5 linked regions of the Xenopus tropicalis genome follow. The protein of the gene in region 4 interacts with the protein of the main gene of each other region in a pairwise test. Links are inferred from orthologs where the notes say so. Each region holds a gene or a part of one and is shown on either strand. Other genes may lie near its edges. The genes, in order: plekhf1, prkaa2, ngb, l3mbtl3 and ttc19.

Region 1 (4,053 bases), on a different chromosome or scaffold from region 4:
GGGGTGCCTAACATTTTGGCACCCCCAAGTGACTTTGCCTTTCCTTCTCCTTTAAGCACAGAATTACCCAGCACTGGAAGGTTTTTTGCCTTCCTCTGGATCATTTATTAATTCCATGAAGCAGTTATGGCCCCTAGGATCACTTTGGCTCTGTGCAAGCCTAGCCAGGAGGAGTAGTCACAACCCTAGAGCCAGGCTAGAGATATTTTGCACAAGGAAGGGCAGGGAGAGAGAAAAGGTTGGTCCCTCAAGAGCGCTACCCAATCTCTGCCCTACATTGAGCCCACAAAGTGTTTTAGGAGCCACAGCTGGTTTCAGGGAATGCCCCACCATTTTTTTGGCAATTATTAGTAATAAATTCTGTGACCCCCCCCAACAGATTTTTCCATAGACACATCTCTGGGTTTTTTTTCTTGAATCCTTATGGTGAATATTGGAGGGGGTAGGGGAATGGGCTGTAGTGCCTCGTTCTGCTAAAGGTGACTGGCCAATTGTGTGACAGGTAACTAATACCAATGGGCAAGTGCGAGGCAGGGTGGGGTAAAACTGGGTGGCTGTCTTGAAGAGGTTTTTTTTAATCAAACTTTATAAATTACACGCCAAATAGACAGATTTCGGCATGCTCATTAAAAAAGGATTATAAGTGCGCATGTGCACTATGCCAAGAGACAAAATTCTGAAGGGAGGGTGAGAGGGAGTTACAGAGGGAGACAAATCAAGGGATCGCTGCAGCTTCGTTGAAGAACCCGGAGCAGCAAGCATTTAAAGAATGCTGTGAGGCTTTTCACTGATAAAATTTTTGGTTGGGGAGTTGACGTGGCCTTTAAAATAAACTGCAATAACTGGAGTCAACTGCTTGCTGGATTTTTTAGACTTTTTACAGCTGTGGTGTCTGTCCCTAAACAGAGCAAATGTCTTAATAAAACCATAAGTATGCCACATGGCAATTACATAAGTACCGCTTTGTTCCACCCTTGCAAAAACCCTCACGTTCCATAAGGGACATTCCATATCGGAGTGACAGGAATAGCAGACTGAAGCATTACAACAACTACTCAGCCAGCTCCTCTCTCGTCAGCACTTTCGGAGGAAATCAGAAATTCTCTGTTTAGACCTGTTGGCAGCCAGCATAGACACGTGTTTCTCCCCGGGGCGGGGCCTGACTTCTGGGCTGTCTGTGGGCAGCGGAGGCGATAGTCTCATTGCATTCTCATCACGGGATAATAGCCACTGGTGACGGGTGGGTCATGAGGGAACTCTCCCTGCCTGCATTATAAAGGACATAACTTGCTGACAGTAGCGAAATCGTGTGGCAGGGAGCGGCATGGCGTTGCTCTGAGACTTTTCTGCAGAACTTGAAGCTGTAACAGGGAATCGCGTCGCGCTACAGGGAGCGCTCTGCTGGAACGATATATCTAGAGCGCAGGGTAAGCAAAATCACTGCTCTGCTTGCTACTGTCGTTTTGAAAGCAACAGCTGTATGCAATTACTTGTCAAAACAAATGTAATCCCTTGTATGAGACAGGGGGTTCTGTATTGATCACTCGGGCAAAGCAAACCTATTATTGTAGGGCAAGCAGTATGTTAGCTCCCTCCAATATTCCCAAATAAGAAAAGATTTGCAGTATTCTCCCTCGAACCTGTTATAGCAGATTTTGTTATATGGCCTAGCTTGTAAAACATTTCCTGCTAATTGATGCATAGTGATCTAAGCAGTAAACTGTAACTTGTATATACTGTAGATTGTAGGACATTCTTCTAACAAATATTTGTACAGCATGTTCTTAACAGTCAGTGCTCTGTCATTTCAACTGTTTGGACATGTCCGCTTCTCATATTCTGTCAGTTCTGGAGCTAGGCTTTCCCGCAGCCATGTCGGTAGCGCAGCAGTTAGTAATGCACTCTTTTGTGGCCACACCACCAAAATACCACAATAAGCACTTCATTATGGCGCTGAAGCATTTCACGACAGGCACAGTTCCATCAAGCTCCCCATCTTTTGTCTCCAGGCAGCAGTGCTTTTTATAATGTGATTGTAGAGGAATGACATCAGAGTCAAATCTTGCAAGACTTTTCCATCATAGACAGCGGAGGGGCAACTGGGAACCGCAAGCTGGATGACAAAAATCAGGGCTGTCAAAGTGGGAAAGTAGCGAGGTTATCACAGAAGAGGCATATTCAGAATATTGCATTAACCCTAGACATGATATACATATGGCTGTGCTTGACTATAACTCTCAGAAACCCTAAGAGTTATAGTTTAACAACCACAAATGCCGGCCATCCACATCACATTACAAAGTAGTAGTATAATCACATACCAGATGCACCAGGAAGAAGCTTGTAGTACATACAGGCTGGGACTTAGAGGCTAGAATTTCTATAAAAGTACAGGAATTCCAAAGTATATACCCACCTAGACTTCAAAAACTAGCCCACATCTATACCTAGGCAGATTAGTACTTTGGAAACCTGCCACAGCTTTAAAATAGTACCCCAGGTAGGCAGAAAAAATGCCAACCTGGCAACCTTGATCTCATACCTACAGTCCTGATGGAATGGATGAAGGAGGTCTGAGCACCAATGGAGGAAGAGAGGATAAAGAAGGGATAACCACAGAGGGAGAAGGGCTTAGGAGCGCTGTGTACAGATGACATGAATGTCCGGTCAGCTGCGAACTTTTATTGGTGTATTGCACACTTTAGAAGCATCAAAAGGCAGTGGTAATAGAGAGCCTTACATTATGGGGCATATTTATTATGCTGTGTAAAAACGGCAAGAAAATTCACCACACATTGGCAGGCTTCGCCGTGTATAAAACGGCATAATTTTTTACGCGTTTTTTCTTCCACCGGAACTTATGGAAAGTAACGGCGTAATATCCGGCGTTCAGACGGCGATCTTTTCCATTTATTTTACACAGCTTTTTACTCCGTTTTTTCGGCGAATTAGTTTTACACAGCATAATAAATATGCCCCCAAATGTTAACAGCAGGTGCCTCTGCAAACTGCTGTTTTGGGTAACAAACTGTTGATTCGTTTTGATCTCAGTGCAAAATAGGTAACATTCAGCACAATATAGATTAAAGTGGAACCCATAACCATAGAATCTATGGTGTTGGCACTTTTGATACTGTTGATACTTTTATGGAAAAAAAAGTCAGCTTCTCTCCATAATAAAAGAAGTGACTGCAAAATGAGAAACATTGATGTACAGTTCTGTAACCTGAGTTAAGTCTAAATGCCAAACTGGAAATATCAGTTCCTGATTCTTTTAGAAACATCTGATGGACGTTTCTTTTAAAGGTAAACAGTCACAACAAAGGGGTGAAGGTAATGGTATATTCTAATTTTAAATTATAAATAGGCAGAATTTACTTTCAGAGTAAGTTCTAGTCATTATGCTGAAAAAAGATGTACACTACCAATGTGACGCTAAGTAATAATCACTATTACGTAAAAGAAAGAAGCAGCATAGAACAAAAAAAGCTTTGGCTCTAGGAGGATTTTATTTTATATGGTGATGCCCAAAGTATGGATTAGGATTAGAAAAAAAGTCTTCACAAAAGGAAATGGAGGTAATATAAAAAAGGGAGAAAAACTGATGTTTTGTTACCTAGTGGTTCACCTTTATGTTAACTTTTAGTATGTTATATAAAGTCCTATTTCTAGCAACTTTGCAACTGGTCTTCATTTTTTAATTTTTATAATTTTCAAATGATCTGCCTTCCACTTCTACATCTTTTCAGCTTTCAAATGGGGGTCACTGACCCCAGCAGCCAAAATCCTTTGTTTTGTGATCTTACAATTTATTATTATTGTTACTTTTTATTACTTATCTTTCTATTCAGTCCCTCTCCTAGTTATATTTCAGTCTTTCATTTACACCACTGCCTGGTTGCTAAGGTAAGCAAGACCCTAGAAACCAGATAGTGGCTGAAAATCCAAATTGTAGAGCTGATGAACAAAAAGCTAAAAAACACAAAAAATGAAAACCAACTGCAAATTGTGTCAGAATATCATTGTCTGCATCATACTAAAAGTTCATTTTAA
Region 2 (4,263 bases), on a different chromosome or scaffold from region 4:
TCTACAACATATTAAAAGTTAATTTAAAGGTTGACAACCCCTTTAAACAGGAGAAAAAGCATCCAATTACTAATTGAGGCATAAATAAATAATTGGGGCATAGGTGAGTAGCCCTGTAACCTGCATTTTACAAAGGCCCGTGTTTGTTGGAAGCCCACAAAGGACTAGGTCTAAAGGTGGCCATACACGCACCAATAATATCGTAATTCGGTGCGTGTATGGTATTTTGGCCGAGTCGACCGATATCGCAGGAAGCTGCTGATATCGGCCGACTCGCCGATCGGACCAGTTTGAAAATTTTGATCGGGCGCCATAGAAGGTGCCTGACCAAAATCTCCCTTCAGCGCTGAATCGGCAGAAGGAGGTAGAAATCCTATTGTTTCTACCTCCTTACCTGCCGATTCAGCCCTGAATGGTGTGTGGCGGATCTGACGATGTTTCGTGCGACCATCGGTCAGATCGCCACGTGTATGGCCAGCTTAAGGCTGCAGGATTTTAGGGGCAGCATGCAACCAAGCCGCATCTATATTGGTTCCGAAGCACTACGGATGTGCAGGAGATTTGATTTAAATCTCTGCTCGCCAATCAAGCTCCCCAGTGCTCTGTTCCCAACAAGGGAAATTTGCGTATGCATGCACAATGGGAAGGGTGGCAGATGTGCCAAGCAGTGACAGGGGCCTAAGGATGCCCACTAAATCTGGGCCTGATTTTACAGGACTCATTTAATACAAGACTTGCTTTCTGGATTCCGCCAGCAGGGCACAGAGTTCAGGTGCCAAACTGCACATGGGTAGTGATCTGTCTCTCTTTGCCTTGGTGAAATATTTATTAAACCATGGAAAAATTTTCAATTTAAAGGCAAAGGGTTGTTTTACCACTGCTTTTTTTCTGCACAAAATACTTTGAAGTCAATGGCTATTTTTTGCTGCTTTTTTTTTTTCTTTTCACACAAAATATCTTCTTTTCTTGCAACATTTTTCTCACGCTTTTTTGCTTCAAACATTTTTGTGACTTTTAACTTTCCACCTAGCCCACATGTAATATTTACTTGTTCTCCAGATGTGCTCCTCCTTCCTATGCCAGAATGGATTGCCAAATTGCCTCTCACTGTATTTTGTTTGTGAGGACCATAGGGCTCCTTCCCTTGTGCCTAGCCTTTCATAAATAAACCCAAACGAATTGAACATGATATGTTATAGTTAGCTCATTTGGACTGCAAAAAAAATAGAAAAGCGAATTTAAATTCGAATCCAAGCGACGTGTGTTTCAGTACCCTGGGCAGCAACTGGTCATTGCTCCTGCGATTTAGGACCTTGCAGGGCTGCCTGCTCTTGCACGGCATGAAGCCACGCCCACTGGGCTGTCCCTGCAACGGGCTCTGTCAGGATCCAGCCTTTGGCACGCACCTGTCATTGCCTGTGCCAGCTGCATTGTGGGTACACAGACGAACAGAATGCAAAGATGGCTGAGAAGCAGAAGCACGATGGACGGGTTAAAATAGGACACTACATCTTGGGTGACACGCTAGGAGTTGGCACCTTCGGAAAAGTGAAAAGCTGAGTATATTCTCCAGAGCTTTGCTATGTATAGATATACTTTCAGCATCATCAGAACCTGTTTGAAAGCAGAACATGATGCTCCTTGAGTAGAAGGTGCAGGGAGATGAACTGATTGAAGTGCATGGATCATGCAAGCACTTTTTATGAGTGTAAGGTACAGAGGGTGAAGCCTACACAGAGTGCAGTGTAACATTACACAGTTAACATGGGCAGCATCTTTGCTTAATGATCTGTTATTCCTGCAGTTTTTTTTTATTCTTGCTGGGTGCTTCCCAAGGGATGCTGCAGGGGTTAGTTTAACCTCTAAAGCCCTACTGTGGGAGTTAAGGTGACATTGAGGGCAGGAGAAAGGGCAGTGGCAGTGTCTTTATTTATGTACTGTATTATAAACAATAAGCAGTGCAAACAGGAATTGTAGTAAAATGTCAGATATGTGTGACTGCCCGAGTCAGCCATTGTGTGTGTGTGTGAGTTGCTGTACACTTCCAGAAGCTGTGCTGGTGCTAGGGATTTAGTAACTGTGCTGCTGGATGGCAGTGTGCCAGTGGAAAATACATTCTCATGGATTGGGAAGGAACTATTTTTCAATTTTTAATAAGAGGCTGATTGGCTGCTTTTCAGCTTATGTGCAAACTGTTCTTGTTGAACCCAGCATCAAGGAATTGTTACTTGTCAGTATAGACAGGGTGAAAACCCGACAAATCTCTTTTTCACTGCCAATTTATTTGCCAGTGTTTTTAAAAAAAAAGTTGTAAAGGCATCTCTTTAGGACATGTACAGGCCACTGTTATACTTACTTACCTATTGCCATGTAGTAGCTGCGCAATTGTTAATACAATAGCAGTCACATGGATTTCCAGTAGATTTCTATTCACTAGGAAAGTTGTAGCATTTTATTTGAACCATATAGCAATCCTGCATTTAAGTCAAGCAGGTCATTAAAAAAAATCTGCACATTAAAAATGATTAAGACATTGCAAAGTGGTAAGAGGAAATCTGTTGTAATCTATTAAAACCCATCAATCTTTAAGGAATATTTTAGTGCCAAGTTACCTTACAACTGGAGGACAGGAGCACCCACAACACTTTCTTTCTTTGGAACCTGATTTTTAAGGCATTGGAAATGTAGTACTTTCAAGTGATTTCAGTCAAATAAGAAGACCTTTCAGAAATTTGGCCTGATTCAGTTTCATGGTAAAAACATATTTAATGCTTTATCTTGTCCAGACTAGAACCCTTGCGGTAGGCAATAAGTTTCTCATTAAGCTAAATATGGCCATTTGTGTCAAAAACCACAGGGGAAACATCAAAGATCAAAACAAGATGCTATATACCTGTTGCAAATGACCATGCACATAACAGTGTATTGGAAGGACCAGTAGAACCCTTAAAGAAGAAGTAAAGGTTCAGTCACTGGGGGGAGCCAAATATTATGCACCCCCAGTGATTGTAATCCTTTACCTGATACCCCAGACCAGTGCTCCTGTTATCAGAAAACTGAACTGGCCAGGCGTACATGCAAGCAAGCGATCCCCTTTTTTCTTCTTTTTTTCTTCAAAAAAGACAGCTTTTTTGTTAAAGGGGTAGTTAATCTTTTAGTATTTTGTAGACAGTGACATTCTGAGACAATATGCAATTTGTCTTCATTTTCCGTTATTTAGCTTTTATTTAGCTCTCCAAACTGGTATTTCAGCAGCTATCTGGTTGCTAGGGTATGATTTTCCCTAGCAACCAGGCAGTGGTTTGCGTGAGAAGCTGTTCTGTACCAGGAGTACTGGCCTGGGGTATCAGGTAAGTGATTACAATGATGGGTGATTACAATCACAGGGGGGCACCCACCCAGTGATTAAACATTTCCTTCTTCAAGGTGAGGATTTAAAAGCATGTTAACAAAATTTAGAAGAGTTTAACAACACAATGGGGCTTATTTACAAAGTATAGCACAGGATGCATGTTGCAAAACTCAAGATGTTAAACCAACATTTTTTTATATCTTTTGCACACTGCCTTGATGCAGGTGTTGGCTCTCCAGAATGGAGTGCAAAGACTTGCATTCCCCCTATGAATAGAGGTCTGTCTGTGTTCTGCAACAGTGTTTTCATGAGGGATGGGCACGAGAGGCATGAAAGCATCCTCTCTGCTGCCCCCTAACTTGCACATCATTCAGATACGAAAGTTAGGGAGATGTGGCAGGCACAAGTTGCAGCAGATCCGTGTACTTAAGGCTTTAATTAGATGTAAGAAATATATCATGCACTTTCATTTCCATATTGCGCTTACTTTGTATATAGTTTGTATGCATAGTTTAAATTCTAGCTATTGCTATAAAGTGCAGAAAATAGAAATCAGTAGTGCAGTAGCATATGCTGATACTGAAATAAATACTGAAAATTATCCATATTGTTGGGAATGCTTAACTGGCAAGATTATAGAAGCTCTTGCAAAGAAAACAAACTTAGTAATAAATCCATTTTTGAATCAACAATTATGCAGGCACTTAGTCCCCCATTCCACACAAGCACAAAGCATCATATATAAATTCATGGATGCTGGTGCACATTACACAATATACTGTATAGTTACCTAAGAACATAGCTTCTCCCAAGGATGCACAACCTGTGAAATGCACTGTGCTCTATTTCTGGCATCCTGGGATTATGTTTTTTGTTTGTATGCATTGCAAAGACACCACTGTCCGGTGTGT
Region 3 (4,299 bases), on a different chromosome or scaffold from region 4:
ATTTAAAATGGAAATGCAAATAAGTGTGCTTACACAAACAAATACTATTATTAATAATATGTCATGCATGATTACAAATAAGGGAAAATAAAGGTAAATTGTCCATTATTTTAATAATAGTGAAAATACATGCTGCTAGAAGCAGACTATCAGGTCAATAATAGGCCATTAGGAATAGGAAAATAAGTAAAACAAGTTATTAGGAAATCTGGATAAAACACGGTCAAGGATAAAACATATTGGATAGACTCCACCACATAGCTTTGTACCATCTGCTAACCTATTTGCAATCCTTACCCACCGATCTCTAGATGCCTGGCATGGTATCACGTTTTCTTACACCCACTTTAGTCTGCCAGCCTTTCACTATTTTACTTATCTTTGCTGACCCCAATATCTAATAACCTTTTATTTTTCACTCCCTTGGTATGCAATATGGAGGTGTTATAGGCAGAGAAACAGTATTTAGTATAGACTGATGCAGTGATCCCCAACCAGCAGCTTGTGAGCAACAAGTTACTCCTTGTGGCCTCAAAGCAGGTGCTTATTTTTGAATTCTTGGGTTGGTGGCAAGTTTTCTTAAATAAGAACACTATGTACTCCTCAAAGCTGAGCTTTTGCATAGAGGTTACCAAATAGCCCTTATTTGGCACCTCCCTAAGTCTTTTTATATTTGACTGTGGCTCACAGGTAAGAAAGTTGGGCTCCCCAGGTCTGATGAGTGAAGGGGTTCTGCCACACCTTATATTTTACTCTCACCCACATTCTCCTCAGAATACTGTTCTTTTTCTGCCCTGACTTCCCCCGACATCATCACTTTTTAAAATGTATTCTGCATCCCCATTCTCACAAACATTCACCCCATCCTATCAATGAAAATATGTCCATACTTGCATGTTACCAAATTATCTATATCTTTATTTTATCTGATAATGTGCCATTGCAATTACTTTATTGTATTGATGCTTGTACCATGATCAGCTTCCTTTGAATGTTATCATTTTTGATTCAATATACATGTTATATGGTCACGATTTCCAAACATTTTTTTAAGTCCCTATGTTGCAGATCACACAATCCAAAAGAGTACCTCTTCAGCATATTAAATGTGCCGACAGCAAGTAGCTAGCTTCCCTTTGATGTGCTGGCAGTCATGTTACATCACTGAATTTCAGTATAATTGAAATCTGCTATAAAGGACTTGTGTCTGAATGGCTTATTAATTTATTTGAAACATACAATTAACATGACCCCATCAGAATTTAATCAACCATAAAGCATCTGTATCAGTCTTATAACTGATCTTTCATGTACTTGATCCTCTAAATTCAGCATCAAAATCTATCTGTAATAAAGTCCAACATTTCTCTTAACCTTATTTATTCAAAATAAGGGATGCCTCCAGTATTAACTACTCACCCATGTATATAACTAGCCACTGTTATTTGTTTAAAACTGTTATTTGTTTAAATAACAAATATTAAAACATATGAAATGTTTTAGTATTGATCTATTCAGTTCAGTTGAGAATGTTGCTACAGTCAGTATAATTAGAGATTTATGTGAGACAGCAGAAAACTAGAATCAGTGCCAGTGAAATGTGTTTTAGTAAGAAAACTGATCTGGAGCTTGCCAGTGAATTCCAGCAGAAGAGAAGTCTTAGAGATGTGAGGGAAGGTTATCAGAGAGGAGAAGAGCTGCAGTTCTCATGTAGAAAGCTAGAGCACAAGAATATGCACGCTTACAGATAAAAATGCCAGAGTTAAGATGCAAAACATATGTTTTGTGGTCTGATATAAAATAATCCCACCATGCTTTTCCATAAATACCATTTTTTATAAATATCTGATAACCCCAGATTCTATTATTTATTGTCACAATGTTGTCATTTTTGTTTGCACATCATGCCAGATCGTAGTACTGATTACTATATAACTAATAAACATTAAAATTGTCTTGTGTCATTCATATATTATATGTATATATGTATATATGGAGAGAGAGAGAGAGAGAGAGAGAGAGAGAGAGAGAGAGAGAGAGAGAGAGAGAGAAAAAATATATATATTCTCTGAACATGCCAGTTTCTCACCCTTGAAAATGTAGGGACACCTCAAATAAATGCACATTTTAGGGATGCACCAATTGCCTTTAAATTATATTGTAACCAGCACAGCTAGATTTTCTAGATATGTCCCTTAATTTTCAAGTCATCCAGTAGCCCTAACCTGCCATCAGTTATATAGCTTTGCAAGGCTCCCCTATAAATGTAATTTTCTTCTTCAGTTATATTTCTTTTATTGGACTACTCTGATGCAAGATTACAAAAATGAACAGCAAAGTCTAATAATCCCCTATAATTCTATGCAACCTATTATGTGCATATCACTGTAACTTGTCATTACAATACAACAATATTATGTTTCTCACAAAGTAAAACACTTGCTGTCAGTGTCTCATCTGCAGGTCACACCATTGTCCTTACCAGCAAAATGCACTTACCTGGCAGATGCCATAGTACCAGTATTTTACTTGGTGAACTACACGTATCAGACATTCACGTGGAACTTCTGATGACCAATACAGTCCACTTATAGTTACAGACACCAGTTTGTGCCAATACTGCTGTGTCTTACCTTTTCAACTGAAAAATGTCACTGTTACCAGGTGCTTGCTAAAATGTTTCACCTGGTCATTGACTCTGCCAGTCTCTTACCTGGAAAATAGTACTGTTCCATGGTGCAGCTGGTCCTGGCTTACTGTTTGCCAGCTCTCACGAATCAGTTCTTTTTGGGGTCCCGACAGCTGATCTTTCTCCATGGTACTAAGGCTTGAGTTCCTTCTAACTTTTCCCCCTTTGCTATTTCTTGTATGTAACACTATAACCTGTTTTTGTGGTTTTGCACCTACCTATCAGAGCCCAGGGTCCAGAGTTGCCCAGGGACACTAAACGCTTAGGAAAGGAACATTTGCCAGAAGTGTGACCGTCTCAAAACAGCAGACTAGGAAAAATGTGTTCCTTTATCTTTTGCCCTTGTCTTTTCCTTTCCACTGCTTCCTCATTTATACCATCCCTCACTTTATCTCCTGTCACTACAGCCTTCTCTCTGTGCATCCTCTGCCTGTCTTTGGCTTTGCATCGCCTGCCCCCTCCTTTCCCCTCCCTGTCACAGCATCCTTTTCTGCATTTAAAGTCACAGTGCTCCTAACAAGAAGCTACAAGTCTGTCCACAGACAACAGACAGTTTCCTGGGCTGCACTGTTTGCCAATGCATTCACATCAAGTACAATCAGTTTATCCCCTGTGGCTGCATTTTTTTACAAGCATGCCCGATTTATAAAGTTATCTGGTAACCTAATAACCTCTTAAAATGTGGCCCATAAAATATATGTTATTACAATGATGTTTAGTTGATTTTTAATATTTTTCTGTGTAAATGCCTGTGAAAGGAATCATTTGGATCTCTAAGATGTGGAATTACAATTGTCTGATATGAGTGGCCTCCAACTGATCATTCAATCTCAGGGCACACAGGAATTATAAAAGTGGTGTCCCCAAATATAAGATCATGGAAAAAGCAGGCGGTAGGAGCACCAGACTGCAGTCCAGTTGGATTGCACAATAGTCATGTGTGAATATCACAGTGAGCACCAAATTAAGAAACCAGAAGTCTATCAGCAGCAGCAAGTGCAATAAGGGCTTTAGGGCATGTACACAGGGCAGTCTAATGTTGTTTACACCTCATTTTATCCCAATTCCAGGACATGTTGGGATAAGAGTAAATTATTACAAAATGTTTCCTTTGCAGATCTGTTTAGCCAACAGCCGTATATTAATATTTATACAGCATAAGATCTCTTATCAAATAAAAAAAAAGTTTAAAAAGAGGCTTTGTGTAATGACTGTGTGGCAAGTAACTTTGAGGTAAAAATGGCAATTTTTTTGCTGGAGGATTGCTGTTTTATTACCCACCATTTAAAAGCAGGTGCTGCCTGTAATGCTGGATTTTTACACGAAAAACTTTTACAATGATAATTTATACACCTTTTTTTTTTTACAAGCAAGGCTGTAAATTATGTTTTGTACTTGGTCACCATTTATTTTTATACACAGCATGATAAATAGACCCCTTAATTAGAAGTACACAGTCAAAACATACTGCAGCAGTGTTATTTAAAAGATGTATATTAAAAAAAAAAAGCATTAGCATATGCATAAATGCACAAGGTCTATGAGGCACTATATCCAGAAACATTATTACATTGTTTTTAGATAACACAACAGAAATAGAGCCTTTTTCT
Region 4 (2,829 bases):
CCCAACCTTACTTACATAACCCAGGGGGTCCCAATGATCTATGTGCTAATAATTGTTGTCACATAGTGAAGGGTCCTGCTAATGATGATATAATTCACTGATCTGTCAAGACTGTCACTATGCTGTATAAACCTACAGACTCACCTCTTGATCTGTGGTTTAGTTTCAGTTTCCTCTTCTAACCACTCAGTTCCCTCCCACGGATTGCTCCGTCCCCAGCGTTCCTCTACTGGAATTGGAGATTTTCTGTATGTAGCAAAAGTTATCATGTGATAATTAGACCACCAATAGCTAAGGCTAGCTTAATAGATCAGTGGCCCTCGTTAATAAACATAGGAAAACACTGAAACCAATGTGACATTTGCTTTCAATAATGGTACCTGATCATAGTTAAAGGGGTAGTTTGCTTTTAAGTTAACTGTTAGTATGTTATAGTCTGTTCTTAGCAACTTTTTAATTGATCTACATTTTTAATTTTTATAGCTTTCAACGGTTTGGCTTTCTCTTCTGACTCTTTCTAGCTTTCAAATGGGGGTCACTGACCCCAGCAGCCTAAAACTATAGCTCTTTGGAGACTACAATTTTATCTTTATTGTTTTGTTTTAAATGTATTAATTATTTTTCTATTTAGGCTCTCATTATTCATATTCCAGTCTCTCTTTTAAAGCACTGCCTGGTTGCTAGGTCAAACTGGACCCCAGCAACCAGATAGCTGCTGAAATTCCAAACTGGAGAGATGCTAAACAAATAATAAGTAAAAAAAATAAGTAATAAGTAAAATAATTAAAAAAAAATGCAAATAATAAGAACGTAGAAAATAATAAAAAATGAACGCCAATAGCAAACTGTCTCAGAACAGCACTCTCTACATTATACTAAAAGTTAATTCAAAGGTGAACAACCTCATTAACATGGAATCAAAACACCACAGCATAATCTAGTTGATAATATAATTTAGGATGAAACGCTACCACCAAATTTCTTTTTTGACTGATAGACTGCCACGGAAACTTCTAACTTTTATATTTTATAGGACATGCTGTTAAAACAAGCCAGACACTCCTCTCAGGATAAACATTGTCTGCACTGCAATAGCAACAGGAATTACTTCCACAAAGAGTAAGGGAAAAATTTTTACTGAGCATTGTGTTTGTCAGATTTCTTACATTGCATAATAATCCATTCTTATTTTAGTTATCAGGGTCATTTTAATGCAATCATAGTATGGAACTCTCTTGCATAACTTCACACTAGCAGAACCTGCAACCACGGGGTGGCCTGGTATTTACCCACATCTCTCTTCAATACATCATTGAATCCAAGCAGGTGGATGGTGAGGAGGTGTGCTGCTTGCTGCTGTGGTAATGCATTGTGGAGAGCACCAAAGATGTTTTTTTCTGATACATAATACTACCTACTTTGTTATTAGTTAGGGCATATATTTGTGTTAATATATGCTCTAACTCTCAGCGTTTATATAGATTTATTATAAATTAGTGGTGTTTAATGTTTGTGTGACCTATAGAGGTGTGCTACATAAAAGCGCCACAATAGCTTTTATGCGCATTCATGTATCTGCATTCCAAATAAACACCTGCAATATGCAACCCATGGTGGCACTCCACATCAATAAAATCACCCTTCGGCGGAGGAGAAAGTACCAAAGTTAGACTTGGAAGACATCATATGTTGCATCGGGCTGCTGTAATCACTGGTAACAAATTAGCAAAAAAAAAAAAAAAGTTTTTCTTATTTGTCGACTGATCATAATAGAACGGTGCATGTCTGTTTTTTAAACAGGGACACTATTTTCATTAAAGATAGCTCATACAAAAACAAAGATTTAAAAACGTTTTAGTTATATCACCTTGATTGGGGGAAGTCACTGGAATCTGTTGTAGGACTAGGTGTCCCTGGCCTACGTGAACGAGTTGCGTTTTGTACTGGTGATGGCCGCTCCCCGCTAAGACGATCCTGTAGCAAATTCTCTCTATTCAGATTAACTTCTGAGTATGGGCAGCCCACAGCACTATGAAAGAGATATAAAAAGTATATTATATGTGACCTTCTGTTCTTTCAGGCTCATGGTGTCGCTCTCACTTACGTGTAATGTGTGCCATATCTGGATCCCCTTACATGCCCAATTCCTGTACAGCCAGCAATGGGACATCCCTGCCCGGCTACAGCAGCCATGTCTGAGGCACCTGATTAAAGAAATGGAGAACTGCATATGTTGAATTCTACCGGAATACCCCAATTTCTCTAATACTAATACAGGGTAATGCAAATTCTAATAATAAGATTCCCCATGTGGTTTAAATATCTTACCAGGAGGCAACTGGAGTGCGTGTCCAGTCTTTGCACACCATCCTACAGGGTGAATATCAGGGCTGTCAACATCCACCCAAAAATCATACAGGGAACTCCATCCATCAAAATGCAACTAGAAGAGAGTTCTATAATTGTCATGGTGCAAATCAAATACATATATACCTAACATATTTTGTTCCCTGTGTTATTATATATATTTATAAAAATATCTGTATTAGAAATCACCTTAATGCGGTTATCATCTTTCTGGACAGTGCTGCAGACTCTGATTAACATAGGATTTCTTTGGTCCACTGCTTCTAGCTTCATTTGTGGCTGATACCCATGAGGGGGGCGCTGTGATGAGAATATAGAAATAAGAAGGAAGAGAAAAGGAGAGAAAATTTAAAAAAAAAAAAATAAAGTGAAAGTCTATAACTGTCCACTTCATACCTGGACATAAGAAGTCCTATTTCTTGGGGAGGAGGCTAAAAGTTGTCTATGTAAATGGGTAACTTT
Region 5 (3,084 bases), about 54 Mb from region 4:
CCAGATGAGATCCTCACCCACAAGCACCTCACACTAGCTGGCGGCTTACCCGAGGGTGAGACAGGAAGCACAGCAGTGGAAAGAGGCTGGAAGGCCGAATAGCGGAGTACCGAAGGAGTAGGCAGAAGAATAGTCAAACAAGTCCGGGTCTTGGCAGGCAGCAAGGATTCACAGGCAAGGGTCAGGCAAGAAGGTCAAATCAGCAGGTCAATAGGATACAGGATGCTAGGCACAAGAGAGCTTGATAACCGAGCGCTGTTGCCTAACTGTTTTGGCTATTTAAAGGGTTTGCATTTGGTGCCAAAACGTAACATGCGTCAACGTAATGATGCGCACGTAAATTGTCGCGAGCAGATTAGTCTCGAGCAGGAATAGTCGCGTGCGTGTGACGGCATCTCACATGCGTTCCACCTGGTTTTGTGCCTTCCACCCTGATCCGTCGCACACGCTGCGGGTGAGTTGCCTTACATCTAGAGGTAATGAAATTAAAAAGGACACAAATGCTTCCTGAAAATAAATCTTTTACTCCATAAAAGTTTGTATCTTGCAAATAAGTTATACATTTCATACATGAACAAGTCCTGGTGGCATTCACACCTTTGATGCCCCTTTGGACAGCTCGGAGTGACAAAGATGGCAGCAAAGCACAGTATTCTGAGTACATTTCCAATCCAAAAATCTTTAATACCAATGTTCTCTTTTCAGTATGATCAGCTACCCCTTTTTCCTCCTATCAAGTTCAGCCAGACCTTCTTGAATATACTGTACAGAAGCAGAGTCCCCTTTCTTCTCAGAGTGCTCAAGCGCCTCCTTAAAAATGCGTTCAGCTTCTGCAAAGTGTTCTTTCCCTAAATGTCAAACAGAAAAACGGTGTAGGGTATGGTCCAGAAATTACACAAACTAACACACAAGGGTTCAGGCATTACATTGCAGAGGTGGAACTAGTCAGGCTGAATTTTATAAGCTTGGAAGACAGAAAAAATAGGGATGCACCAAAAACATTGTTTTCTACCAGCTGAATACAGAATTGAATCCCAGCCCTGACTTGAACAGCCAAAATTGAGAACAAAGGAAATATTGCGTCCCATGTGAACAAAAAATTGCCACACTTAATTGTTTAGTGCTGTAATGTCACATGACTTTAAGGGTTTGGATTTGGCATAATCTGTTGTTCGGATTGTAATGAATTCCATACTGAAGTAAAATCACCAGTCCACGTGCTATCCTATTGACAAACTGTTGCATGCCTGCGCTTTGCAGAATATTCAGGTCTGACCAGTATGTGCAGTAGATTCCCATGGTGGGGAATTATATCAGTCCACACAAAGCATGTGATGTAGCCACAAGTGTCTTATCTTATTCGGAACCTGTCACACTGTAAAGTATTTTATTTTCCCCCTTACTGACTTGTAATTTTAGTTCCATAAGAGCAGAAATGTTGGAACACAACATGTTCATTCATATAATTAACATGCTATATTATGGCTGGCAGTGCTATTTCTGTTAAGTTGCAAGCAATTTTCTGATGGACATTGGCAGTCAGCGCTAAGAAGGCAATTCTGTAAATAAGCTATTGTCATTCCTTTTTTTTTTTTTACAGTTACTTAGAAAGACTCCATTATAACAGATGGTAGAGCCCCTAGATCAGGGACCCCCAACCTTTTATACCCATGAGTCACATTTAAATGGATAAAGTGTTGGGGAGCAGCACAAGTATAAAAAAATGTTCCTGGGGGTGCCAATAAGAGCTGTAATTGGCTACTTAATAGCCACTATGTGGACTGGAAGCGTACAGAAGGATCTGTTTGGAATTCAAAAATGAGCCCCTGCTTTGAGGCCACTGGGAGCAACATCCAAGGGGTTGGGGAGCAACATGTTGTCCTCGAGCCACTGGTTGGGGATCACTGCCCTAGATGGTTATATTCCCACTAACTAAGGTTGCACATTTAGGAGTATGAGTTAAGTGGAATAATAAACCTTATATGTAAATAGGATTTTCCCTATAAGTTTATAGCTAACATGCACAGAAAATTCATTTTGTGCATGCTTTTCATTTTTTTTTTATTACTTTTTTATTATTATGTATTTGCTATACAGGGGCTAAAACTAGCTGCTGATTTAGTCACTCCAGAGGTGGAACCTTGCTGGGCTTGCTATGCTATGGAGGCAAAATGACAACCTCCGTGACTGACAGAACAGAGCTTTATTAGATATATTGTGGCTATGCGGACAGCATTAGACTCTCTTGAAGAGTGCACACAAGGCTGTTTGTGGCCAAATAGTGTCCCGGTTTGCTCGTTATGCAAATGAGTGTGACATCACACGCGTGTGAGTAATGCACAAGACGGGAGGCTCTTTAATTAAGTGCATGTGTGTAACCAAACATGGCCGCCAACAGCAAGAGGTCCCATTATGGTGCAGGCGGCATAGCACTCACAGAGCATTTTTCTCTCAAAAGCCAGATCCACTGTATACATTTTTGTGCCAAAGGGAGTGGATTGGCCCATTTTACATTAGCAGAGAAAACTCCATGTATGCCACTAGCCTAACACCTACCTGCCTTAGGTAAAGCAATATATTAGCACAACATGAAGTCAAGTGCATTACACATGTCTAGCTAAGTCTAAATAAAATAATAATAATATGGCATCTTCCATTTAGATATATAACTGCAACCATTAAGAGCAGTGATTCCCTTCCCTCAGGAGCAACATATTGCTCCCCAACCCCTTGGATGTTGCTCCCAGTGCCCCCAAACCAGGGAGTTATTTTTGAATTCCTGACTTGGTGGCAAGTTTAGGTTGAATAAAAGCAAGATTTACTACCAAATAAAGCCTCCTGTAAGCGGATAGTGTGCATAGAGGCTGCCTAATAGCCAATCTTAGCCCTTATTTGGCTCCTCCATGAACTTTTATGGTGCTTGTGTTGCTCTCGAAGTCTTTTTACATGTGACTGTGGCTCACGAGTAAGAAAGGTTGGGGACCCCTGATTAAGAGAGTGCTGCACACAGACAGCTCTCCGCCATGCATTGTTAATTAAGGGGATAGAAAAAGTAAAAAAAGGAAGAGACGTGATATATAAAAT

Evidence for each region.
Region 1: the proteins of l3mbtl3 (region 4) and plekhf1 interact in binary tests that used the Homo sapiens proteins (3 or more experiments, as listed by UniProt). The two-hybrid records come from large-scale screens. The link is inferred for Xenopus tropicalis from reciprocal best matches to the Homo sapiens genes L3MBTL3 and PLEKHF1.
Region 2: the proteins of l3mbtl3 (region 4) and prkaa2 interact in binary tests that used the Homo sapiens proteins (3 or more experiments, as listed by UniProt). The two-hybrid records come from large-scale screens. The link is inferred for Xenopus tropicalis from reciprocal best matches to the Homo sapiens genes L3MBTL3 and PRKAA2.
Region 3: the proteins of l3mbtl3 (region 4) and ngb interact in binary tests that used the Homo sapiens proteins (3 or more experiments, as listed by UniProt). The two-hybrid records come from large-scale screens. The link is inferred for Xenopus tropicalis from reciprocal best matches to the Homo sapiens genes L3MBTL3 and NGB.
Region 5: the proteins of l3mbtl3 (region 4) and ttc19 interact in binary tests that used the Homo sapiens proteins (3 or more experiments, as listed by UniProt). The two-hybrid records come from large-scale screens. The link is inferred for Xenopus tropicalis from reciprocal best matches to the Homo sapiens genes L3MBTL3 and TTC19.

What each region holds. Positions count from the first base shown.
Region 1 is NC_030680.2:71,403,049-71,407,101, reverse strand, and holds the start of plekhf1 (pleckstrin homology domain-containing family F member 1), read left to right. Parts: upstream 1-1,253; 5' UTR 1,254-1,427; intron 1,428-4,053. UniProt on the Homo sapiens protein: May induce apoptosis through the lysosomal-mitochondrial pathway. Translocates to the lysosome initiating the permeabilization of lysosomal membrane (LMP) and resulting in the release of CTSD and CTSL to the cytoplasm.
Region 2 is NC_030680.2:87,584,470-87,588,732, reverse strand, and holds the start of prkaa2 (5'-AMP-activated protein kinase catalytic subunit alpha-2), read left to right. Parts: upstream 1-1,455; 5' UTR 1,456-1,461; coding exon 1,462-1,555; intron 1,556-4,263. UniProt on the Homo sapiens protein: Catalytic subunit of AMP-activated protein kinase (AMPK), an energy sensor protein kinase that plays a key role in regulating cellular energy metabolism.
Region 3 is NC_030684.2:82,757,739-82,762,037, forward strand, and holds the start of ngb (neuroglobin), read right to left. Parts: upstream 2,818-4,299; coding exon 2,714-2,817; intron 1-2,713. UniProt on the Homo sapiens protein: Monomeric globin with a bis-histidyl six-coordinate heme-iron atom through which it can bind dioxygen, carbon monoxide and nitric oxide.
Region 4 is NC_030678.2:83,409,735-83,412,563, reverse strand, and holds part of l3mbtl3 (lethal(3)malignant brain tumor-like protein 3), read right to left. Parts: intron 2,668-2,829; coding exon 2,557-2,667; intron 2,444-2,556; coding exon 2,329-2,443; intron 2,205-2,328; coding exon 2,105-2,204; intron 2,030-2,104; coding exon 1,868-2,029; intron 247-1,867; coding exon 145-246; intron 1-144. UniProt on the Homo sapiens protein: Is a negative regulator of Notch target genes expression, required for RBPJ-mediated transcriptional repression. It recruits KDM1A to Notch-responsive elements and promotes KDM1A-mediated H3K4me demethylation.
Region 5 is NC_030678.2:29,750,545-29,753,628, reverse strand, and holds the end of ttc19 (tetratricopeptide repeat protein 19, mitochondrial), read right to left. Parts: intron 849-3,084; coding exon 715-848; 3' UTR 505-714; downstream 1-504. UniProt on the Homo sapiens protein: Required for the preservation of the structural and functional integrity of mitochondrial respiratory complex III by allowing the physiological turnover of the Rieske protein UQCRFS1.